Arabidopsis thaliana: one gene and its partners. The main gene of each other region encodes a partner of the protein of the gene in region 3 in a complex. Each region holds a gene or a part of one and is shown on either strand. Other genes may lie near its edges. The genes, in order: rps15, EMB3137, PSRP4 and rps8.

Region 1 (5,447 bases), on a different chromosome or scaffold from region 3:
GCAGAAACTTGGGATAGCTTCCTATTTGCTCAAATAATAAGAGGTTCTCTCTTAGTAACTCAATCAATTCTTAGAAAATATATTATATTACCTTTATTGATAATAATTAAAAACAGTGTCCGTATGTTATTATTTCAATTTCCCGAGTGGTCCCAGGATTTAAAGGATTGGAAACGTGAAATGCATGTTAAATGTACTTATAATGGGGTTCAACTATCCGAAACAGAATTTCCAAGAAACTGGTTAACGGATGGTATTCAGATAAAAATCCTATTTCCTTTTTATCTTAAACCTTGGCATAAATCTAAATTTCAAGCATCTCAGAAGGCTCGACTAAAAAAAACAAAAGACAAAGGAGAAAAAAATGATTTTTGTTTCTTAACAGTTTGGGGAATGGAAACCGAACTACCGTTTGGTTCTGCCCAAAGAAAGCCTTCTTTTTTTGAACCTATTTCTAAAGAATTAAAAAAAAGAATCAAAAAATTAAAAAAAAAGTCTTTTGTGGTTTTAAAGATTTTCAAAGAAAGAGCACCCATTTTCCTAAAAGTCGCAAAAGAAACTAAAAACTGGATTCTCAAAAACTTTATTTTTATAAAAGGAATTTCAAAACGAAATCTAATTCCATTATTTGGCCCGAGAGAAATATATGAATTAAATGAACCTAAAAAAGATTCAATAATAAGTAATCAGATGATTCATGAACTATCTGTTCAAAATAAATCCTTGGAGTGGACAAATTCTTCACTTAGCGAAAAAAAAATCAAAAATTTGATTGATAGAAAAAAGACAATCAGAAATCAAATAGAAGAAATTTCAAAAGAAAAACAAAACTTAACTAATAGTTGTACCAAACTGCGTTATGATTCTAAAATAATTGAGTCATCAAAAAAAATTTGGCAGACATTCAAAAGAAAAAATACCCGATTAATTCGTAAATCCATTTTTTTTTTTAAATTTTGCATCGAACAAATGTCTATAGCTATTTTTCTAGGTATCATTAATATTCCAAGAATTACTACACAACTTTTTTTTGAATCAACAAAAAAAATTCTTGATAAATATATTTACAAGAATGAAGAAAATGGAGAAAAAAAAAAAAATACTCTTTATTTTATTTCGACTATAAAAAATTTAATATCCAATAAAAAAAAAATGAGTTATGACCTATGCTCTTTATCACAAGCATATGTATTTTACAAATTATCACAAATTAAAGTTAGTAACTTTTGTAAATTAAAGGCTGTTCTTGAATATAACATATGCATAACATCCTTTTTTGTTAAGAATAAAATAAAGGTTTTTTTTCAAGAACACGGAATCTTTCATTATGAATTGAAAAATAAAACCTTTTTGAATTCCGAAGTAAATCAATGGAAAAACTGGTTACGAAGTCAGTATCAATACAATTTACCCCAGATTTCATGGGCTAGATTAGTAACCCAAAATTGGAAAAATAAAATAAATAAAGATTCTCTAGTTCTAAACCCAAGTTTAACCAAAGAGGATTCATATGAAAAAAAGAAATTTGATAATTATAAAAAACAAAAATTTTTTGAGGCCGACTCATTATTAAATCCAAAACATAATGTAAAAAAAGATTCTATATATAATCTTTTTTGCTATAAATCTATTCATTCTACAGAAAAAAATTTTGACATGTCTATAGGCATTGCCCTAGATAATTGTTTAGTCTCTTCTTTTCTAGAAAAATATAATATTCGGGGTATGGGGGAAATTCGGCATAGAAAATATTTGGATTGGAGAATTCTTAACTTTTGGTTTACAAAAAAAGTAACTATTGAGCCTTGGGTTGATACTAAGAGTAAAAAAAAATATATTAATACTAAAGTTCAGAATTATCAAAAAATTGATAAAATAACGCAGACGGATCTTGCTAATAAAAAAAGAAACTTTTTTGATTGGATGGGAATGAATGAAGAAATACTAAATCAGCGTATAACAAATTTTGAATTTTTTTTCTTTCCGGAATTTTTCTTATTTTCTAGTACATATAAAATGAAACCATGGGTCATACCAATCAAATTACTTCTTTTAAATTTTAATGAAAACATAAATGTTAATAAAAAGATCATTCGAAAGAAAAAAGGTTTTATACCATCAAATGAAAAAGAATCCCTTCGATTTTATAATCTGAATAAAGAAGAAAAAGAATCGGCCGGTCAAGTAGAACTTGAATCAGATAAAGAAACAAAAAGAAATCCCGAAGCAGCTCGATTAAACCAAGAAAAAAATATTGAAGAAAATTTTGCAGAATCAACAATAAAAAAACGTAAAAATAAAAAACAATACAAAAGTAATACAGAAGCGGAACTTGATTTATTTCTGACAAGATATTCGCGTTTTCAATTGCGATGGAATTGTTTTTTTAATCAAAAAATTCTCAATAATGTAAAAGTATACTGTCTCTTGGTTAGACTAAACAATCCAAACGAAATAGCGGTATCTTCTATTGAAAGAGGAGAGATGAGCCTAGACATTCTAATGATTGAGAAAAATTTCACTTTTGCAAAATTAATGAAAAAAGGAATATTGATTATTGAACCTGTGCGTTTGTCTGTACAAAACGATGGACAACTTATTATATATAGAACCATAGGTATTTCATTGGTTCATAAAAATAAACACAAAATAAGTAAAAGATACAAAAAAAAAAGCTATATTAATAAAAAATTTTTTGAAAAATCCATTACAAAATATCAAAACAAAACTGTAAATAAAAAAAAAAATAATTATGATTTCTTTGTCCCTGAAAAAATTCTATCCCCTAAACGACGTAGAGAATTTCGAATTCTAATTTGTTTCAACTTAAAAAAAAAAAATGCTAGGGATACAAATTCAAGATTTGATAAGAATATTCAAAACTTGACCACCGTTTTGCATAAAAAGAAAGATCTTGATCTTGATAAGGATAAAAATAACTTAATTAATTTAAAATCCTTTCTTTGGCCCAATTTTAAATTAGAAGATTTAGCTTGTATGAATCGCTATTGGTTTAATACTACTAACGGAAATCATTTCAGTATGATAAGAATACGCATGTATACGCGATTTCCAATTCCTTAATCATAAATACTTTTTACTATATATAATAAGTTACGGTATATGAAAACAACTATATGCACAAATATGAGGGATTGTTTTAAATTAAATCTTTATACATGAGATTAATTTAATCAATCACATAGATACCAATTATAGCGGATTCATAAATAAATTAACAGAATCCTTCTTTTTGAGATCTAAATTTAGATTTTTTTCTAAAATGAAGAATTAAGAGGTTGATAATTAAATTAAGATCCTTGTACAAAAAAACTACCATTATTATTACTGATCAGTAAAATTAATATCTTTCAATTCATATTAAAAGGGGAAGGATTTCTTTTTATGATAAAAAATATAGTCATTTCATTTGAAGAACAAAAAGAAGAAAGCAGGGGATCCGTTGAATTTCAAGTATTTAGTTTCACTAATAAGATACGAAGACTTACTTCACATTTGGAATTGCACAGAAAAGATTATTTATCTCAGCGGGGTCTACGAAAAATTCTGGGAAAACGTCAACGACTGCTGGCTTATTTGTCAAAAAAAAATAGAGTACGTTATAAAGAATTAATTAATCAGTTGAATATTCGGGAATTAAAAACTCGTTAAATTCAAAAATTGTGAATTAGTGAATTTTTTAGATCTTGAATTTTTTGATAAACTTCTTTATTCAGAAATCTAATTCATGCCAGAACGAATCAAGGAAAAACTTATGAAGAGACCAGTTACAGGAAAAGATCTTATGATAGTCAATATGGGACCTCACCACCCATCCATGCATGGTGTTCTTCGCTTAATTGTTACTCTAGATGGTGAGGATGTTGTTGACTGTGAACCCATATTAGGTTATTTACACAGAGGAATGGAAAAAATTGCAGAAAACCGAGCAATTATACAATATTTACCGTATGTAACGCGATGGGATTATTTAGCTACTATGTTTACAGAAGCAATAACAGTAAATGGACCAGAACAATTGGGAAATATTCAAGTTCCTAAAAGGGCCAGCTATATCAGAGTAATTATGCTGGAATTGAGTCGTATAGCTTCTCATCTGTTATGGCTCGGCCCTTTTATGGCAGATATTGGTGCACAGACTCCCTTTTTCTATATTTTCAGAGAACGAGAATTTGTATATGATCTATTCGAAGCTGCCACCGGTATGAGAATGATGCATAATTTTTTTCGTATTGGAGGAATAGCGGCTGATTTACCTTATGGTTGGATAGATAAATGCTTGGATTTTTGTGATTATTTTTTAACAGAGGTTGTTGAATATCAAAAACTCATTACACGAAATCCTATTTTTTTAGAACGGGTTGAAGGAGTTGGGATTATTGGTGGGGAAGAAGCAATAAATTGGGGTTTATCCGGACCAATGCTACGCGCATCCGGAATACCATGGGATCTTCGTAAAATTGATCGTTATGAGTCTTACGATGAATTTGAATGGGAAATTCAATGGCAAAAACAAGGAGATTCATTAGCTCGTTATTTAGTACGACTTAGCGAAATGACAGAATCCATAAAAATTATTCAACAGGCTCTGGAAGGACTTCCAGGGGGTCCCTATGAGAATTTAGAAAGCAGGGGCTTTGATAGAAAAAGGAATCCAGAATGGAATGATTTTGAATATCGATTCATTAGTAAAAAACCTTCTCCTACTTTTGAATTATCAAAACAAGAACTTTATGTAAGAGTTGAAGCTCCAAAAGGGGAGTTGGGAATTTTTCTCATAGGAGATCAAAGCGGTTTTCCTTGGAGATGGAAAATACGACCACCGGGTTTTATTAATTTGCAAATTCTTCCTGAACTAGTTAAAAGAATGAAATTGGCTGATATTATGACGATACTCGGTAGCATAGATATAATTATGGGAGAAGTTGATCGTTAAAATGATAATTTATGCAACAGCAGTCCAAACTATAAATTCTTTTGTTAAATTGGAATCTTTAAAAGAGGTCTATGGACTCATATGGATATTTGTCCCTATATTTTCTCTTGTATTGGGAATCATAACAGGTGTACTAGTAATTGTGTGGTTAGAAAGAGAAATATCTGCAGGGATACAACAACGTATTGGACCTGAATACGCCGGCCCGTTGGGAATTCTTCAAGCTCTAGCCGATGGGACAAAACTACTTTTCAAAGAAAATCTTCGTCCATCTAGAGGAAATACTCCTTTATTTAGTATTGGACCATCTATAGCAGTTATCTCTATTTTACTAAGTTATTCAGTAATTCCCTTTAGCAATCACCTTGTTTTAGCGGATCTCAATATCGGTATTTTTTTATGGATTGCCATCTCAAGTATTGCTCCTATTGGACTTCTTATGTCAGGATATGGATCAAATAATAAATATTCTTTTTTAGGTGGTCTGCGA
Region 2 (8,998 bases), on a different chromosome or scaffold from region 3:
ATAGAAGTTAATTCAATGATTGCAAAAATCCAAGCACTTGACGCAAGCAACATCGTCGTCATTGGCTTTTATCCCAACAACTATGATCACCATGATCTAAAACTGTTTAAAAAATGTTTAACCTTAATTTATTTTGGTCCGATCAAATCAAATCTTCTTAAAGAAGAAGAATAAGAGTTATTTGATATTTTAGTAGAAGTGATTACTTCATTGATTCTTTTACTACAAAGTAATAATAATAACCAAATGCATTCTCTCGAATGAAAGTAGGTACAATTGTTATTTTATTCTTTTTGTAAAAGTAGGTAGGTACCATTTATTTTGGAGAACACATATTTAATTCTGAAACGGGTCAATTTTCGTGAGTTTCATTTTTTTTTCTTATAAAGGTTTTGTTAATATCAAAAGTTTTGTTTATTCTATGTTTTTTTTCTAATCCACGAAAGGTCGCATTGACCTAATTCACCTAACTATAAAGAAGTAAAGAACACATTGATAACATATATAGTGAGCATATAATATAAATTAATACAAAACTTATTGTGTCGCACATGTGGGATATATGACTGGGTTTCCTATGTGCCCGTTTTTGTGTGAAGCGATATATAGTTTTTGTGTGAACACTTCCAATTTGACAATGAAACATTATTTGAACAACAACGATGATAGTGATCCTGACTTTGACAGATCAAACTAAAATTGACATTATACTTTTCAAAACAAACGATATATATAGTTTATTCAACTGAGTAAAATATTTTCATCATATATGTATTCCTTTTTAATTAGTCATTATATATATGCATACATATTGTACGGGCAAATTATGATACAACATCACACGCCATGCATAATCCACATTTTACATAAAAGAAACTGCTAATTACTTGCGATAATTATATAGATATATTATATTACAATGTTATAGTACATTCATCATAAGAGGAAAAGATTATCATCAAGATTGGCGAAGAGGTCCCATGGTACAAAAGGATCCGTCATATCCAAGTCCCATTGCTCTAAAGAGATCGAATCTTCTGCAAGATATGATGAAGATTCACTTCTTGAAATATTACTACATAGTGAAGAGAAAGACGAAGAGGATATCTCATTGCATTGCGTTTCAAATAGAGATTCCAAGTCTACTTCTTCTGCACATAGAATTTTGCAGTTTTTCGCCACAAGTTCCTCATCATTATCAGATAACATTAATGTTTTTGTTGTTTCTGTGATAACATCATCTTTTGGAGTTTGATCCTTGATCTCTTCTCCTTCATTGATGGTAGAACACATATTTGGTTTTTTATCTTGATTAGGATCGGTTTGATGAGTAATATCATTCATCGGTTTGTGCGTAGCCGGATCCAACCCAAGATGTTTCATCTTCTTCTTGATCTTCGTATTCCAGTGGTTTTTGATCTCGTTATCCGTTCGACCAGAGAAATGCGAGGCAATTTTAGACCACCTACAATGTCCAAAGCATCCATAAAACATGAAAAAGCAAAATTAAAGCGTATAGCATATAACATGATTATATCAATATATAACACTTTATATTACAAGTCTCATGAATTAAACCAAAAAAATATAATCTATGGCATGAAAGTTATATATACAAAAAGTAATATCGTATGTAGAAATCTCCACATAATTTGTTTTCGTAGCCGATTCTTCACTCAGAAATAACCCACTTCAATGCACAAGTACTATATACGTCAAACTTTTATTTTTAATTTTTAACCCACTTCCATGCACAAGTATATACGTCAATTATCTAAGTTTTGGTGTAAATATGGTTTGTAACCAATGTAAAATAAATAGTTCTCACAAGTCTTAGAAAGATATTTATATGACTTAAAAGGAAGATGACTCAAACATATTGGATCTAAATAAAGTATACGGTGTTACATTCGAGAGAGATTTCATATGAAAAAGCTAGTTTGACGCCGGCTAATGAAAATATATGGATAAGTTTTATTTTTCAGATTATCGTACCGGTTGCCAAGTTGAGAGTGAAGTTCCATAATCCGATCTTCTTCAGCATCAGTGAAACCACCTCTCTTGAGATCGGGTCTCAAATAATTGATCCATCTCAATCTACAGCTCTTCCCGCATCTCAACAAACCTTCATGTACACGTAAACGTTTAACTCCCCAAGAAAAAAAACGAATATAAAGGAAACCTAATAATGCATGCATGTATAAATAATGAAGTACCTGCGAGTTTGGGGACAATTCTCCAGCAGTGGATGCCATTGTTAAGAATGAAGTTCATGAGTCTATGATCTTCTTCTATAGTCCATGGACCTCTCTTCAATCCAATTTTGTCACAGCACGGTTTTCTCCCCATTGAAATTTTTCTAAGGCAAGCTAATAAATCACACATATAACTAATGCTGAATTAAAGCAAAACCGAGAGAGCTTGAGTTAGTCAAAAATATAAACAAGAGAGCGTTGGATCAAGTAATGGGCATTACTTATAAATAATAAGAGGTGAGTTGGGAAGGGCAAAGATTCTCTCCTTTGACAGGTCACTTACAGGCTAAAAGACAAATAAATCCAAATTTAAAGCAAAACACTAGTAATAAGTGAAGCAGTAAATAATGATTGCGGAGACAATTAAAGAAAGATTTGGTGAGAAGTGTGTGAGGTTGTATTACAATAATTATGGACAAACTTCTTTTGAGCTTATGATTCATTACCTATCAAAGTTTGCACTAAAGCCATACTTAATTTAATAGGTGTAGATAAATTAAATGCAATCAACTAAGTACATATATGCATATGATGATATGAACATTGCATAATTATCTTTTGTTGTTTCTATAAAGACAGACTAATTATTTTATCGTAGATAATGGTGGCAACATGACTTTCATGAGTTAAAAAACTGAACCATAATGATTAATTATTTGTTTGCTTTATTGCAAAATTGTTATTTTAAGCTTATGATTACCATATGATATATGATATTACTTTAATTGGTAATTGAAGGAATTTCATTGATTGATTAAAAGTTTGGTTAAAAGAAACGATTTGAGATTTGTTTGGATTCATCGGTCCCCTCTTCAAAGCCTTGTGCTTATTCTGTCATCAAGGCATCTTCTCTTTTTCATTATTCTATTTGTAAATAATTTGTTCTTGTTAAAAACATTTTGAGGAACTCGACTTTTTACGTCATAATTTGTTAGTTTGCACTACACCGTCATGATTAGGCAACTTGCTTAATAAAGAAAGTCAAGTTTGAATTCATCTAGTCATGCTATTATATTTAAGTATTTTCAGTTAAATAAACAAAAACTCATCTAGTCAGCTGAATGCCAAAAGAACTGAACTAGCATCGTCAATGGTATACTATTAACGACGATTAGTATGTACATAAGATTATTAATTTTGACATCATTATACAAGATTTATAAGATTTTAATTTCCTTGAAATGTCCAAAACATTATCTTCACGTATTCTTATCGTGATGATATTTAAAAGAGTTATGTACTTATCAAAGTTAGAAAATTTACATACATATTAATTATCAGACAAACCCCTTATTTATTATAAATGTAAGTGAAAAAATATATTTATAAGCAAAGTGATTGATATTAGATGTCATTGGAAAACTACACTTGTTGGAACCATTTTCCCTCCAAATATGTTTACTATTGTATTTTGTTCCAAATATGTTAACTGCTGTATATGTGTAAATACTTAATAGCAAGAATATCTATTTTATATAGATTTCAGGGTTTAATCATATCGATTTCTTAGTTTGTTTATTAAAGTATTTTGAAATAAGGTTCTCATATTGAACTAATTAAGTTGCTTAGAAGAAATGAAGGTTAGGAACAATTTGCATTAAAATACTCCAAATACGGAGTGGGGTTTCGCGTTAATGCATGGAGGAATATTCGCCATGTACTTGAAGGTATGTGCATATATCCAAATAGGGATCAAATATTAGAAATCTATCTAATTATAGATCAATTCTGAAAGACATTAGGCTATATGTCCTAGTCTATTATAATGTTTAATTACCAACCTAAATTTAGAAATCTGTTAGGAAAACAAATTATATAACCAAATTGCATTAGTTTTTCCTTAATTGAATATTTAACCCTTCATGCCACACTCTTAATTAACACCCAAAGAAAAAAAAACCCGCCATGACTCATATATAATGTAATGTGATAAACAGATAATGTAAACATTACAATTTCCATTAAAGTACTATAGAAACCTAGGTAACCGATCGATTATTACTTATTAGACGTTAAAAGAAATTAGATATTTGATTTATAGTCGACGTGTATGTATATATATATACATACATCTTTCTTTTCCGTATAGCTTACATTATAGGTAGTCAACAAACTTACTATACTTCAATATATTTAACTTTTGTGTGGTACATCAAGAAAATAAAATTGCAGCTAACCAAATATTCGTTTTTGTTTTGGTGCACTGAACTGAACTAAAATTTAGAAAAATGTAATATAGAAGAGTATTGTTGTATATGAGAGGGACCTCGACAAAATCACAAAAACAATAAATAATACGTGAGAGACCGTTGGGAAAAAGAGTATATACGGAGCCTACGATGTGTAAGAAAAATTATTAATGCAAGGGACCAGAATCATATTTAGGCCCACTAAAAAGCACTGTCTCTTTAGGTCCAACTTAATCTTCATATAGTCACTAATTGGGCCTAAAAATTGTAACTGTAGTTATGGATAGCGTTACGTAGAATATTCGTTTAGCATATCAGTTTCTCCTTTCCATTCGTTAACTAATTTTTTCTTTGCAAACATACTGTATCTACCGTTTTATCAAATAATTTTCTTTTTATTATTTGTTTGTTTACTAGAATTACAGTTTTTTCAAACAGATAAATAATCATATTAATAATAACATTTGCTAAATTTAGTTAAAAGAATCATGGTGTTACTTTTTAAGTTTTACTGGTTTGCTTTCAAGTTTCAAGAATGATTGTATAGTACTTTCGGATGTTTGATCTTTAAAACTTGTTGGTACAGTTGGAATGCTTTATTGGAAATATCAAACTATCACCAACGCTAACATTTCTATTCTTTTTGAACTTCATCAAGAGCCAAAGCCCCTGATCGGCCTCACAAAAGACACCATTTTCTTTGGTCTCCGGCAACAGAACATGGATTGGAATCAATCCCTAATCAAACCGGGTCAATTTGGCTTAGTCAAGAAACGTCCCTCTTATGTAACAGCTGTTCCAGAACGGCAGAACATTCACGAACATATAAATGGGTGTCCACTAACAAATTCAAACACATAACCATGATCACTCTGTCCTTTTTTCCATTTTTTTAAATATTCAAGTAAACAACATGTAAATTATAACGAATTTAGGTCGTCTCAACATCATGACTCATTCACATGCGTTGACTTTTAACCCACTAAACATTTTTTATAGGACCCCTCTCTCTCTCTATAAATTCGACCCCCTTTGTTGATAGATCATACAGAGAACAACAAAGAAAGAAACCAAATAAGAAGAAAAAGGAGAAGAACATTCAAATGGCACCAAGAAGTTCTTTGATCCGCTTCGCCTTCATCTGCATTGTCTTGGCCGTGATGGTCATGACTGCTGAGTCGCACAACGGAACCCACCACCATGGTCCGGCTATGGCTCCAATGCCACCCATGGCTAAGGCTCCGTCTCCAAGTGCCGCCACTTTCTCCGCCTACCCTCAGCTCATCGCCACCGCATTGGTCGCTGCTATGTCTTTCGTCTTCTGATGAGATGTGTTGCCATTCATCTTCAGAATATGTTTTACTCTCTATGAGATTTTATTTTAATTTTCACATGTATTCCTTCTTTTTTTGTTAATTCTTCAAAGATTGTGATGTTGTGTTCCTATCATAATAAAACATTTATCTCTTGATGTTTTTTTTATTATCTTAATCATATTTTCCTCTTTTTCGAACCAAATCTTCTAATCAAGGCATTATAATGGCCCGTTTGAGAAAAGGTGGACTTTCTTTTTAAAATCAACTAATTCATCTTAAGGTTATAGAATAGATAAATATCCGAAGTAAATATATAAAATAAATTGGGTCAGCCTAAACAAAATAATGAAATGCAGGCCTTACGTGACAGTAATGGGTACGCCTCAACAAATAATGGTGTATTCACTATTCAGACGTTGGTGTCAAAATCAATGAGTGATATCCTTATTAGAAGAACGACAAGCTTTAAACTAGTTTCATGTGTAAAGTACGAAACAATAAACATCATGAAAACACTCGAAATATTGTAGTAAACTTGCCAACAAAACCATGAGTACAAGTGTACAACTCCAATGAATCAGATATATATGCAAGATGGAAAAAATCCCCAAACACCTTAAAATACAACAACATGTGACAATAACGAAGTGAACGACCATCTCGATAAATAGTTAACAAGACTCATTCTCATCCGTTGACTTTTCATCTATACACTTACCATTTTTTTTATACAATCTTTTTCTATCATGACTCTATCCTCAATAGCTACGTGCCCACATGGAGCCAAGGCTCATGCCTTTCGTCTTCTGATCAAATGTGTGTCATTGATCACACCATTCATCTTAGTTGTTAAGAAAATATCTGTAAATCATTTTTTTTTTCATTTTATAGTTGTATCACTTTATTATAGTCCACTCGGTTTTTGCATTTTTGTTATAGTCCACTAGTTGGGCCGTGTTATACAATAGCGAGCCTATCTCAACAAAAAACAAAGCCCAACAAGTATTTATTTTGCCAGTTTTGTAAGCAATTAATTGAATAGAGTAAGTAGAGACGGAGCAAAAACAAGAGAAGCGTTTGGATTCGACGTTTGCCTTATCCGTTCAGCTCATCTTCTTCTTCTTCTTCGTCACCTCTGAATTAGTTTCCCAGAATCCGAAATTCCTAGGAAGAGAACATAACAATGGCGCAGATGGTTGCGATGCCCGTAGCGCACTCGCTCTCACTCATTTGCAATTGGGCAAAATCCAATCCTCTCTCTCGCAACACTCTTGCCCTCCCAGCTTCAAACACTCCCAATGTAATCATTTCTCTTGGACTCTCTCTTGCGTATGATGTTGTAATTTATCGAGCTTGACTTCATGTTTTTTTATGTGTTACTTCATTCTTGTTCGTCAATTTTTGGGTTAGGGGTGGTTATAGAACACTCCATCAATTTTTGGGGGAATTTGTCTCTGTGTTTTTAAAGTTTTTTTTTTTTTTTGTAATGAAATGCAGAAGCAGAGTCTAAGCATCAGATGTGCTCGTGTTGGTGGAGTGGAGATTCCGGCTAATAAGAGAATTGAGTACTCTCTTCAGTACATTCATGGGATTGGTCGAACTAGGGCTCGTCAGATTCTTGTTGATCTTCAGATGGAGAACAAGATTACTAAAGACATGGCTGAGGAAGAACTCATCATTCTTCGTGATGAAGTCTCCAAGTACATGATTGAGGGTGATCTGGTAATACACTTTCCCTTACATTTACACACTTTAGGACATGAGTAATGTGCATCATAGTTTCAGTTTCTGTCAGTCCATTCTCGAGCAGTTTCTTGAAGATTGGAGAAGAACTTAGGCTGCTATCTATTTGGTGTTTTCATTGCTTTAGTTTGGGTTTCCTCTTGTTTTGATTTGGTTCTTAGGCCTTTGTGAATGAATTATTGATTTGTGTTGTGGATGTTGTGCAGAGGAGGTTCAATGCTCTTGCAATCAAGAGGTTGAAGGAGATCCAGTGTTACCGTGGGGTAAGGCACATCCAAGGGCTGCCATGTCGGGGACAGAGAACCAAGAACAACTGCAGGACTCTTAAAGGCAAGAAAATTGCTATTGCAGGGAAGAAGAAAGTTTCCAAGTAATCATCTTCATGATCTCCTTCTTCTTCTGTAATACTCTTTTTAGTTTGTCTAGTCATCTCTGTTTAAATGTGATTTGTAATTCCCAAACCTTTGTTCGAACTGAGCCCTTTCCAGTTTATCTTCGGCTTTTTAGCTATTATTATTCCGTATCTTCATCATTCATTATAAAGTTACAAAAGAAGTTGAAGATTTCAGCATTCAAGAATGATGACAAACCAAGAACAAACTTGAAAATTTGGTCGAACCAAAAATGGTTTATTCAGAATACGTACATATGAATACATAAGTAACCAAAAAATAAAATTTTATAGCTTTTGCCAAAAGACTCGATCTTGGATTGTCTCTAATCCTACCCAGAAAATCTTGCTATCACACAAAAAAAAGGAAGAAAATGAATAATAACAGGGTAAAAATTTTCAGTAAGAGAACTCATGGCCGCGGAGTGAAATGTATTTCTTGACCCAAATGGCAATATCTTCGGCGCAGGCCTGTGCCTGAGGAGTCTTGAGAAGCATATCAAGTGTAGCAAACTCATGAACTGCGTCTTTGTATTCTAAAACTGGAGAATCTACGTTTACCTTTCTAAGCTCTTCTGAATAAGCAATGGCTCGGTCTCTCATCCAGTCATGCTCAGCTACTACTGTAAGTGTTGGAGGCATTAGCTTCAGAGGTGGTCCACTGCGGTTATGGGCAAGTGGGTTTGCTGCCGGGTGGTCAAAGTCGAACTCTTTCTCTGGTAAGAAGAGTTTCCAGGCTAGAACAGAGACAGGCTTATCGTAGAAGTAAGAGTTTGCCAGCTTTATTTCGGACTGTGTTGGGTTGTTTCCAATGAAAAAGGGGTACATTAGAACCTGTGCAACAACTTTCACCGGTTCTAGAAGTTTCCCAGCTTCCACTGCTTTCCGAGCTACATAGTCTGCTATGTTCCCACCACAGCTCACCCCGAGAAGAACACATCTGTTTTAACATCATATGAAGCAACAGGTTGAGACACAGAAGTTGATGTGAGATTGCAATCAATGGAAGATAAGCTATCTTAGTTCATCTAACTAGTTGTCCAAAGAATCCTGACTTTGTACCAAGTTACTCCTAGATCAACATGAAACTATTCTTAAGATCTT
Region 3 (7,960 bases):
ACAACGCAGTGATGGTCTTTGACATCTACCATCCGCTAATGCGAGAATTCTTGCAAGAGTATGCCACAACTTTCGACGGAAACAAATGGGGATACAACAGCCCTTACCTAGTCTCTAGAGTTATCAAGAGATTAGGAAACAAACCTGGATACAACAATCTCACAATCTTTTCTCCCGATGCTTTCTATCCAGTAAACTGGATCAAAATCCAAAAGCTTTTCAAGAAACCTGCAACCACAAGAGAAGCAAAATGGGTAGAGAAGACAGTACAGGACATGAACAAAGGGAGTTACATGATACATCTGTGGAACAAAGTCACAAGGAAGATTAAGATTGAAGAAGGAAGTGTAATGCACACTCTCGTCTCCACTCACTGCACAGTCTGCGGAAACATCACAAACTCTCACATTTAAAGATCCAAACAGAGACAGATGATTCATCCATCTGATCTATCTAAGTATATAGATTCTCGTTCTTAGTTTGCTTTACTTTTTCAATGTAAAAGACTCAATGATTCATAAAGAAGCAAACTTTTCATAAAAAGATGAGAACTTTGGAGATGTTTTTAACAACAAAAGAGTCGTAGCATCAAAGCTTTTCAAAAAACAAATTAAAATTACAGTGAGAGACAACAAGTGAAGAATCTCATATTTCTAATTAGAGAAGAGAGACTCGTCGATATCGATTTTGATCTTCTCGTCGTTCTCAAACTTATCTTTCCTCGGTGGTGCTGGAGGAACCGGTACTCTCTCCGGTCCTCTTCCTTTGCTCTTGTTTCTTGGCCTCGCCTGCTTACATAAACCCCAAATTCAAAACCAAAATTGCGAATTTGCAAAGTAAAATTACGAAATCGGAAAGAGAAATTTGATTACTTACATTCCCAAAAGAGTGATTGAAACGCTTTCCTTTAGCTGTTTTCCGGTCACCTCTGCCACAGTACACTGCGAACACCGGAAAAGTTACGCCATTGACGAATTAAGAGAGAGTTAGATAAGAGAGGGAGATTACCGAGTGGAATTGAGCTGGATGAGGAAGTGGAGAGAGAGAATTGATGAGTGAAGCAAGAGAGAGAGACACCGGCAGTTTCAGAGTGAGAAGATGATAACCGTGAGGAAGGTAATGCGACGGTGACTCGCGGAGGAGCTCCGAGTATAAGCGACGCCATCGCCGTGTGCTGTTTTCGAATTTGTTCGAAGAAGAAGATCCAGAAGAAGATAAGGCAGTGAGAGTAGAAAAACGATTTTAGGATAGGCTTTTAATTATCTTTTCATATTTGGGCTTTAATTTCAATTGGGCTTATTTTAAAGCCCAAATATATCTAAACCCTACACATGCTTGTCACGTGTGTAATCGACCTTGTTCTTGTTCTTGTTCTTGTTCTTGTTCTTCTTCGTCTTCTCTTCGGAGCTTTTTTCTTCAGATATCACCCAGATCGTAACTTTTGATCTTCGAATTTCACAAAGCTCAAACTTTTGGTAAGTATTCTTATCATCTCATTGATCTTGGGTTTCTAAAAAGTTTCAATTTTTATAATCACATCTCTTTCTAAATCTCTCATTACTTGGTATTTAAAATCTGTGTGTGTTTTTTTCATTCTTATGCTTCACAGGATTCTTTACTAATCCTATTGTCACATAACATCGGTAAGCTCTCTTTTTTCTGAACTCTCAAATCTTCTATAGCTCGCTTTAGCCAAAGTCGTTTGCTTTAGTAGAGTGTTATAGATTCTGCTTCAGCTGTTTATTTGAGGCTTTGAGCAATCTGAGTTTGTTATGAAAACATTGAACTTTCAATTCTGAAACAATCACTCAACTTCGATTCACAGAAAATGATTTATATTCTCTAACTTTGCATTATGTGTTTCATCACTTCCTATAGGAACAAGATCATCAATGTATAAACAACTGATCAGAAGTTCATATTTCTCTTTGTAAGTATACAATTCGGGATCTTGATCACTTCTTGCAATGGAGAAAGAGATGGAAGATAAAGAAGAATTCGATGAGGGTGAGATTGAGTACACGAGTTATGCTGGTGAGCATCATCTGCCATTGATTATGTCTCTTGTTGACCAAGAACTTAGTGAACCTTACTCCATCTTTACTTACCGGTACTTCGTCTACCTCTGGCCGCAGCTATGCTTCCTGGTATTTTGACACTCAGCTTTCGATTATCGTTGCTTTACCCTCATGATACTTATGTTTTGATGGATTTATGAGTAGCATTTGTTTTGTTTCTTTTAATAGGCCTTTCACAAAGGTAAATGCGTAGGAACCATAGTCTGTAAGATGGGGGATCATCGACAGACTTTCAGAGGGTACATCGCTATGTTGGTTGTGATTAAACCATATCGTGGCCGAGGCATAGGTAATACTTGAGCTAGTGCTTCCTAACTTCTTACAGAATCAGATTTTGACTGTGGGAGTAGTGTTTGATCTACTGCAAATACATGCCTCTCTTAAGGTTCGATAATTTTGTGTGCTGACTTGTCATTGTTTTTTTACAGCCTCAGAGCTTGTCACAAGAGCGATAAAAGCGATGATGGAATCAGGCTGTGAAGAGGTATGCTGTTCTTGCATTCTCACTTCTCTCTTTATTCCCACTTTGGAGAACTTAGATATTTGGTAGCACTAGAGTGATATCCTTTCCTGGTAGTATAAATGTAGATAAGACCTTATGAACCACCTTTTCCGGAAGGTTATAAGTCCATTACATGTCCTGAAATAGTGCCTCCTTTTTATCTACTAGAATAGAATTTCATAGCTGAGGTGATGTAGCTGCCTTTAATCATTGCAAGTATACCTATTGCTTTTGATTGTTTAGCTAACTGTGTGTGTAAGTTTAGTTCCACGTATAAAAGTAGTTAATCATACTCCTAAGAGTTGGAACTTTTCGATATTCGTTTAGTTACTAATTTTGTAGTGGAAATCAAAATCCCAGTCTCTCACTTAGTATACATATGTTGTATAAGTCTTGTATGTAGTCCATGACTCTTTATAGTCACACGCATTGGAATGTAACTGATAGTAATATAAAATAAGAAATCCCTGTCTCCCACTTACTAATTGCGTATTCGACGAATCATTTTCTGTTGTATGTGTGATCTCTTAACTGTAATCTCAGTAGTAAATAGATTGGAAAAAGAACCTCGTGATTGGCATTTGCTCTTCAAGTTCCTCATAATCAAGCCTGATTACAACATGAGAGTATGGTTGTCTGGTTATGCAATCTAATTAATGTAAAGATGTATGGCTGAAGGTAACTCTGGAGGCAGAAGTGAGTAACAAAGGAGCATTAGCACTATATGGGCGACTCGGGTTTATAAGAGCCAAACGGCTATACCACTATTACTTGAATGGGATGGATGCTTTTCGCCTGAAGCTCTTGTTCCCTAAGCCTCGTGTACCTCAAATACCTTCTCAAGTTCAAACCCAACAAGAGTATGAGACCTTTCCTAGGCCTCGTGTACCTTAAGGCCATGAACGAAGATGTGTGTTTCTTCAATGTATTCTAAATCCTGAACATGCTAAGACTATGTTCTCTTTCGTATGAAGAAATATTATGTGTTGGTACAATTCTAGTCCCATGTTTATGAAGTATTCTCGACTGGAGTAAGCGATTAATCTGGACGTTTCAACGGTCTTGTGTGTCTACAGAAACAATTTAGCATATTCATATCACTTTGTGGTGTGCGTATATACGTTTTTAAGGTCTCTCAAACTTGGTTGATGATTGGAAACAAAGATCTAAATGTTGTTACAAATTCATATAACCACTTAACTTAACCTAATCGTCTCAGGCTACTCCTGACTTCGAGTTAAGTGGATGATATAGAAATCGAGATGTGAAGTGATTTTCAGCCATCAAAATTTTCAAACAGCTCTATATACCTCAAAAGAAATCCAAGATGACAAAAAATTGATTTAAGGCCAAAGGAGAGAAAGATGCCAGTCAAATGTTATGAAAAGACATGCTTGAATAATTGGTATGAGATATTTTATGAAATACTTTTATTGCATACCGTATTTTACTATAAAACAATTTTCTTTTCACAAACACAACCATCTTAGATTTATCCATGTTAGCCGAGATTTTTTTTGTATCCAGATAGTCCACTTTACAAAAAAAAAAAAGTCTAATATAAAGAAGAAGAAAAGCCTCAAATGTAGTTGCAAAACTCACATGGCCTAAATCAGAACAAATTAAAGACGATTCACCACTCGCCACATAATAGTTTATTGACAATTTGAACCCACTCGTTACCAAGGGTCACTAACCAAACGTTACCAAGGGTCCTACTCCATATCGCATAATATGACTCACATTCACTTCTTCTTTTCTCTTTAACGATTTTATGCTATTAGAAGAAACATTTTTGCAAAGTTCTTTTTTATTTTGACCCCCAACAAAAAAAAAGTCAGATGGAAAGTACAAGAATCGGACTCTGGATTCAAACGAGAATATTAGTTAATAATTTTACATATATAGTTATAATCTTTGGGGGCAAAGTACATGTGAAAGCAGAGCATATGATAAGGGGTAAACGATTGAGTACGAATGGAACGAACACATGCCATATTTAATATGAGGGACAGGAACGGTCCTCTGATCCATTCTTTTGATCAGAGAGAAGATGAAGAGTGTCAAGTAAATAATGGCACGTGACTCGGACGAAGTATCCACGTGCGTCCTCTCCCCACACCCATGTGGCCCATAGGATATATGACCGGCTCCGTCGGTCCAACTTGTCCATGTTCCCCTATTTAATTTTTAAACACACCCTGCCGTTAAATCAAATTTTCCAAATAAATTAAAGTGTTATTTCAAAATTTTAATGTAAACTTAGTAGTATTGTCGCTGTGCTATGATCAAAACTGTATAATTAAAAGATCTAATAGGATCCTAAAGAATTATCTAGTATCGGAAGATATTGTTCATGGTAAAATAGTTTATATAAGTCTAATTAGGATAAATGTATAAGATAAGAATTGTTTTTTGTTACTAAAGACAAGTAAAAGGAGAGAAGACGATACATTTTCTTAGCCTATTGTTTTAACAATACCAAATTAAGAAATCACACACTACATATTATCGACTATTCAATTTTAAAAAAAAAACTAAGGAGTGAAAACAAAAATACAAAACCCCAAAAGAGAAAAAAATAATTAAGAGCTTAGCACGCATTTAAAGGGGTGTGTAAAAAGTACACTATTTTCGTGACTTTTACTCCCTTCACGTATACGAACACAAAACACAAAAGAAGAACAAATAATTTTAAGAACCCTCCACAAACGCATTAGAAGAACCCTGACTCGATCTCTCAAAGACGGTGGTGTAAAGCGGAGACCGGGGCATGTGCGGCGGCTGCAGCTGGTTTACATTGGTAACACTTGGCAAAGAGACCAAAAGTGTCGACTTGACGAACAAAGTTGGTTACACTAGCCCATCCACCGAACCCAAATCCGACTATAAGAACCCAAACCACCACGAAAGCATTCAACACGTACATCGCCGTCCAGCTCGGCATAAAGAACGGTGGCTTCTCCGCCGCATTCTACAAGAAAGATCCAAAACACAAAAATAATCAGAGAACCATTAAAGAAATAGAGAGTGTGTAAGTGTTTTAGAGTTTTGGTCGTATAGTAATGGACAAAATCCAAAGCTTTGTTGACCCATGAGATAGAGAGAGAGAGAGAGAGATATGATTGTGATTTGTCATACTCAGACTCTCACTTTAGATTAATGTTAGGCATAGAGTCCCTATTGTACAGCTCCTTTTCATTTCTGATTATGACTCTTACCTATTCCTCTCCCCTATTTTCCTCTACTTTTATCTTACGTAAATTTAATATACACTGTTTTGAAAGAGAGAAAGAAAAAGAAGTCATGGTCAATTACTAATACTAACCTAACCGGATATTGTATTTTTTCTTCTAAATGTAACCAAATAAAGAAATGGCTGAAACCAACTCAATAATATATTATTTGGAGGGGACGCCAGTAAGGAATGTGGGTGATGATCCTATCTTCCGTAAGATACGGAACACTGAACCCCATCTATCTTCCACAAAAGACGTTTTTGCCCTCCAATTTCACAACCCTACCCCCCAACTATAATATTCCTCCACCGACTCTTCATTTCATTTCTAAAAAATTATTGGTAACTCAATGTATTTTAGGTTAAGTTCGAGTTTTGAAACGCTAAAAGAGAGTGAGCTAGTAAAGATGTTATACCTGACGAGCGGAGGCAGATCGGTAAGTGAGCATGTGAGCGAGAGATGGGATGATATAGACGGTGAAGCTAACAAGAAGAGCACCGACAGCGGAATTGATTGGACCGAAAAAGGGGAAGATAATAGCTAAGAACCAAATAGGTATGACCACAGGCAATCTAGCCAAAGCCCTTAAGCAAATGCTCTTTGTGTCATGCATCCCAATCACTTTCTCCCACACAAAGTACAAAGGTGTACAAGCGAACCCGAACGTTATAAACTGCACGAACAAGAACACGTTGCATTAATCTCTCATGATCAAAATTTACTTAAAAAAGAAAGAACAAAAATGTTGTATGTGTATACCTGATGAATGAGCATGAGGATAACAGCGGCGTCACGCCACGCGTTCTTGGGCATAAGAGAGAAAGCGTTGGAGTGGTCGAGAAGTGCGTCTCCGAAAGCCCAGTAAACGGCGGCAGCTGACGGAATCGTTAGCGTGAACACGTATAACGTCGCCATCAAGTAAATGTACTTAAACTTCTGTGGTTTCCACATAGCATGCATAATCTCACTGCAAATTAGAAATTACTGTTAATATTCATAATTTCATCCAAAACTTTAACTATGTAAAAGATTGGATTCACAACAATCATTGACGCATAAAAAGGGTGTATTTGACATTTCGCAAAAGCGTACTATTCCTACTAGTAGTAGTAGTGCTTTGGTAGCAATAGTGTTTGTTATTCTTTATAGGGATAGGAATAATAATGGTTATTCTATTTTATATTTAAAAAGAGCTTATTTTATTAGTACTACTATTTTAAGGATTGCTAAAAATAATAATGACAATCATGATGACTGTAATAATAGTTACACCTTATTTGCCGGCAAAAGCTGCAATAGAAGCGGCGAAGAAACGATACAGCAGCACCCATAATTTAATAATATGGCACCATTTTAATTTACCATATACTTTTTCTGCCATTTAGCTTTAACTTAAATAGTAATTCAACTATGTCTGACAAAATTTATTGATCTTTTATTAGATACAAAATTAATAATCATTAAGAAATCAAAAGAAGAGTAACTTACACAGTAACCGCGTGACCTCCAAAGGTGTACAAAATATTTGTGGCTCCCGTAAAATAAAGCACTAGCTTTGTTGGACCTGAATGTTTCACACCTTCCGCCTAAAATAAACAACAAAAAAAAAATTTGATTAGGAGAATATTAAACAGCTAATTTTGTCTAAGTTATATTATACATACACTTTTTAATACAAATTTGGGTTAAGATGCAAAGAATAATCCCTGATCTTAAAGAGAAAATACGAATTTTTTTTATTCTTCTTTTTAATTAAGGCATATACTGTCACCTCAATGCAAAGCATATAAATATGAAAACGACAGTGTAGTGATCTTTATAATGTGATGAAATATATTTTTGGTGAAATATATTAAAACATTACCTGGCCGTGGATGATGGAGGCAATGGCTAAGTACCAAGCGGTGTAAGTGGTCATTCCAAGGCCAAGGAATGACCAAATTCGGTAATTGTGAAACGACGGTATAAAGACAGTGGTTGCACAACACGCGCCAAATATGTAAGTCCATGTTCTCTTGTCCAGATGATCGTTTATGTAATAAATGTTACTGCAAGTAAACACCAATCATATTTCAATTATCCTCCATTCTTAATCATTAAAGAGTGATTAAAAAGATAAAGAGAATGATTAAAAGATAACA
Region 4 (3,373 bases), on a different chromosome or scaffold from region 3:
GTAATCGAAAAGTATGCGGATTCAGTGGAAGGATGAAAGAAAGAGAGAAAAAATTGAATATTAATGATATATTATTCCAATTTGGAAAGTCTATGAGGTCACTGTAAGAAAAGCAATGTAATAAAGCATCAATACAGATTCATTCAGAATAATTAGATAAATCTGTTCCGAAAACAAAAAAAATTAAGAGCCTTGAGCCAATAAAAACTAAGAAAATTGACTCAAAAACAAATAAAAAAAATGAAATTCCCGATTTCATATAAGAGCTCCATTGTAGAATTCGGGCCTAATGATTAATCAAGAAGCGATGGGAACGACGGAACCCATGAATATAGAGGATTCTATTGAAAAATAAATCTTAGTAATTCATTGGACAGGATGGCGGAATAAACCAGATTATTATCTATTCTTATTTTTATTCAGAGATCTCCTGGGATAAACAACAAACTTAATATAGATATTGAAAGAGTAAATATTCGCCGGCGAATACTTTTTTTTTAATAAAAGTAATAAAAAACAAAAATTAAAAAGATAAAAGAAAATAAGGATTTGTTAGAATATTCTAACAAAAACGACATTCGAGATGATGATATTACGTTACGTTATTTTTAAATAAATAGAATTAATCTTGGATTCCATTTCGAAAAAGACATACACAAATTTAGAAGAGATCAGATGAAATTGAATATCATGATTAATAGAATTAATCATTAACTATATCTTAATACAAGCTTTTTTAGTCCTTTTATTCGCGAGGAGCTGGATGAGAAGAAACTCTCACGTTCAGTTCTGTAGTAGAGATGGAATTTCTAATTTAGAACCATCAACTATAACCCAAAAAGAACCAGATTTCGTAAACAACATCGAGGAAGACTAAAAGGAATATCTTCTCGTGGGAATCGTATTTGTTTTGGCAGATATGCTCTTCAAACACTTGAACCCGCTTGGATCACATCTAGACAAATAGAAGCAGGGCGACGCGCAATGACACGAAATGTACGACGTGGTGGAAAAATTTGGGTACGTATATTTCCAGACAAACCAGTTACAGTAAGACCTGCGGAAACGCGTATGGGTTCTGGGAAAGGATCCCCTGAGTATTGGGTAGCTGTGGTTAAACCAGGTAAAATCCTTTATGAAATGGGTGGTGTACCCGAAAATATAGCAAGAAAAGCTATTTCAATAGCGGCATCAAAAATGCCTATAAAAACCCAATTCATTATTTCTGAATAGGAATATATAATGAAAAAACTAAATAACATTTAAGGGTAAAAAGATTATAAGTTTTCTTTTTTTGACAAACAATATTTTTTTACTTCGTCCTTTGCATTAAAAGAAGAGATACAAAAAAAATGATATGATTCAACCACAAACCTATTTGAATGTAGCAGACAACAGCGGGGCTAGAGAATTGATGTGTATTCGAATAATAGGAGCTAGTAATCGCCGATATGCTCATATTGGTGACGTTATTGTTGCTGTAATCAAAGAAGCAATACCAAATACTCCTCTAGAAAGATCAGAAGTGATTAGAGCTGTAATTGTACGTACTTGTAAAGAACTCAAACGTAACAATGGGACGATAATACGATATGATGACAATGCCGCAGTTGTCATTGATCAAGAAGGAAATCCAAAAGGAACTCGAGTTTTTGGGGCGATCCCACGGGAATTGAGACAATTAAACTTTACTAAAATAGTTTCATTAGCTCCTGAGGTATTATAAGATCTAAATATCGATAGCGATAGTTAGTATCGGATTAAAAAAACAGGTATTGAAATAAAATTAATTAATAGATTCTGTATCACGCATATACCCTTAATAATAAAATATTAAGAATTTAATTCATATATTAATATATAATTCGTCTATATCTATATATAAATAAAAGAAAAAGAACATGTTGATTATATCAAAATTATAGAACAATAAGGAATTTTAACTTATCATGGGGAAAGACACCATTGCTGATATAATAACCTCTATACGAAATGCTGACATGAATAGAAAAGGAACGGTTCGGATAGGATCGACTAACATCACGGAAAGTATTGTTAAAATCCTTTTACGAGAGGGTTTTATCGAAAACGTAAGGAAACATCGCGAAAACAACCAATATTTTTTGATTTTAACCCTAAGACATAGACGAAATAAGAAAGAATCCTACAAAACGATTTTAAATTTAAAGAGAATAAGTCGACCGGGTCTACGAATCTATTCTAACTCTCAACGAATTCCACGAATTTTAGGCGGAATAGGAATTGTAATCCTTTCGACTTCTCAAGGTATAATGACAGACCGAGAAGCTCGACTAAAAAGAATCGGCGGAGAAATTTTGTGTTATATATGGTAATCCTTCTAATATAAAAATTAGATATCTGTAACTTACAATTTGTGAAAAAAGGGGGTTGTGTAATACCACCCCTGTTCAAAAAAGTTTCGGATGTTTTACTTCGAATGAAATTAAAGAAAAAATGAATTAATAAAAGTTTTCTTTCTTAATCACTTCCGAACGGCATGGTTCGATTTTGTTTAGATACTAAAGATTTTTTTTCGTTCATGCTTCTGAAAGGATTCGACATATTTTTGTATAGGTATACCTATAGGATAAAAAGGTAAAATTTTGAGTAAGTTCTTAAGTATAAGTTAATAAGGGGACAGCCATTTTCTAGACTCCATAATAAGTATTCAAATGAGTAAGTGTTTTTTCAATTTCAACCATTCCTTTCACGAAGATACAATTCAAGATTCAAAAATATCAAGAAACCTTTTTTTCGTCCACCAATAAATATATTCACAGAATTAAGGAATAACAACTATGAAAATAAGGGCTTCCGTTCGTAAAATTTGTGAAAAGTGTCGACTAATCCGCAGGAGGGGACGAATTATAGTAATTTGTTCCAACCCGAGGCATAAACAAAGACAAGGATAATCTTACTAAAGGAACTAAAGTAAAAGAAAAGGCACTTCCAAAGAGTTGGAAAAAAGGGTCTATTTTGACCTGAAATGGATATATCCATATATTTCTTGTGAAATGAAAAAAAATGGCAAAACCTATATTAAGAATTGGTTCGCGTAAAAATACACGTAGTGGTTCACGTAAAAATGTACGTAGAATACCAAAGGGAGTTATTCATGTTCAAGCAAGTTTCAACAATACCATTGTAACCGTTACAGATGTACGGGGTCGGGTGATTTCTTGGTCCTCCGCAGGTACTTGTGGATTCCGGGGTACAAGAAGAGGAACACCCTTTGCTGCCCAAACCGCAGCAGGAAATGCTATTCGAGCAGTAGTGGATCAAGGTATGCAACGAGCTGAAGTAAGGATAAAAGGCCCTGGACTCGGAAGAGATGCGGCATTACGAGCTATTC

Evidence for each region.
Region 1: PSRP4 (region 3) and rps15 share a complex: the UniProt entries of both Arabidopsis thaliana proteins name them as parts of the 30S ribosomal subunit.
Region 2: PSRP4 (region 3) and EMB3137 share a complex: the UniProt entries of both Arabidopsis thaliana proteins name them as parts of the 30S ribosomal subunit.
Region 4: PSRP4 (region 3) and rps8 share a complex: the UniProt entries of both Arabidopsis thaliana proteins name them as parts of the 30S ribosomal subunit.

The regions. Positions count from the first base shown.
Region 1 is NC_000932.1:121,521-126,967, reverse strand, and holds rps15 (ribosomal protein S15), read left to right. Parts: upstream 1-3,405; coding exon 3,406-3,672; downstream 3,673-5,447. Other genes in the region: ndhH (NADH dehydrogenase subunit 7), read left to right, coding at 3,776-4,957; ndhA (NADH dehydrogenase subunit 1), read left to right, coding at 4,959-5,447.
Region 2 is NC_003076.8:4,616,718-4,625,715, reverse strand, and holds EMB3137 (Ribosomal protein S13/S18 family), read left to right. Parts: upstream 1-6,734; 5' UTR 6,735-6,943; coding exon 6,944-7,060; intron 7,061-7,257; coding exon 7,258-7,482; coding exon of another isoform or gene 7,483-7,527; exon of another isoform or gene 7,528-7,709; coding exon 7,710-7,877; 3' UTR 7,878-8,293; downstream 8,294-8,998. Other genes in the region: MYB40 (myb domain protein 40), read right to left, coding at 937-1,465, 1,996-2,125, 2,217-2,385; AT5G14330 (uncharacterized protein), read left to right, coding at 5,165-5,277, 5,496-5,769; CXE16 (carboxyesterase 16), read right to left, coding at 8,294-8,834. UniProt on the Arabidopsis thaliana protein: Located at the top of the head of the 30S subunit, it contacts several helices of the 16S rRNA.
Region 3 is NC_003071.7:15,974,153-15,982,112, reverse strand, and holds PSRP4 (plastid-specific ribosomal protein 4), read right to left. Parts: upstream 1,266-7,960; 5' UTR 1,166-1,265; coding exon 1,009-1,165; intron 942-1,008; coding exon 877-941; intron 789-876; coding exon 654-788; 3' UTR 501-653; downstream 1-500. Other genes in the region: AT2G38150 (alpha 1,4-glycosyltransferase family protein), read left to right, coding at 1-413; ATMAK3 (Acyl-CoA N-acyltransferases (NAT) superfamily protein), read left to right, coding at 1,968-2,147, 2,247-2,367, 2,507-2,562, 3,259-3,474; AUX1 (Transmembrane amino acid transporter family protein), read right to left, coding at 5,321-5,554, 6,235-6,492, 6,579-6,786, 7,308-7,405, 7,684-7,867.
Region 4 is NC_000932.1:79,049-82,421, reverse strand, and holds rps8 (ribosomal protein S8), read left to right. Parts: upstream 1-1,949; coding exon 1,950-2,354; downstream 2,355-3,373. Other genes in the region: rpl14 (ribosomal protein L14), read left to right, coding at 1,358-1,726; rpl36 (ribosomal protein L36), read left to right, coding at 2,820-2,933; rps11 (ribosomal protein S11), read left to right, coding at 3,046-3,373. UniProt on the Arabidopsis thaliana protein: One of the primary rRNA binding proteins, it binds directly to 16S rRNA central domain where it helps coordinate assembly of the platform of the 30S subunit.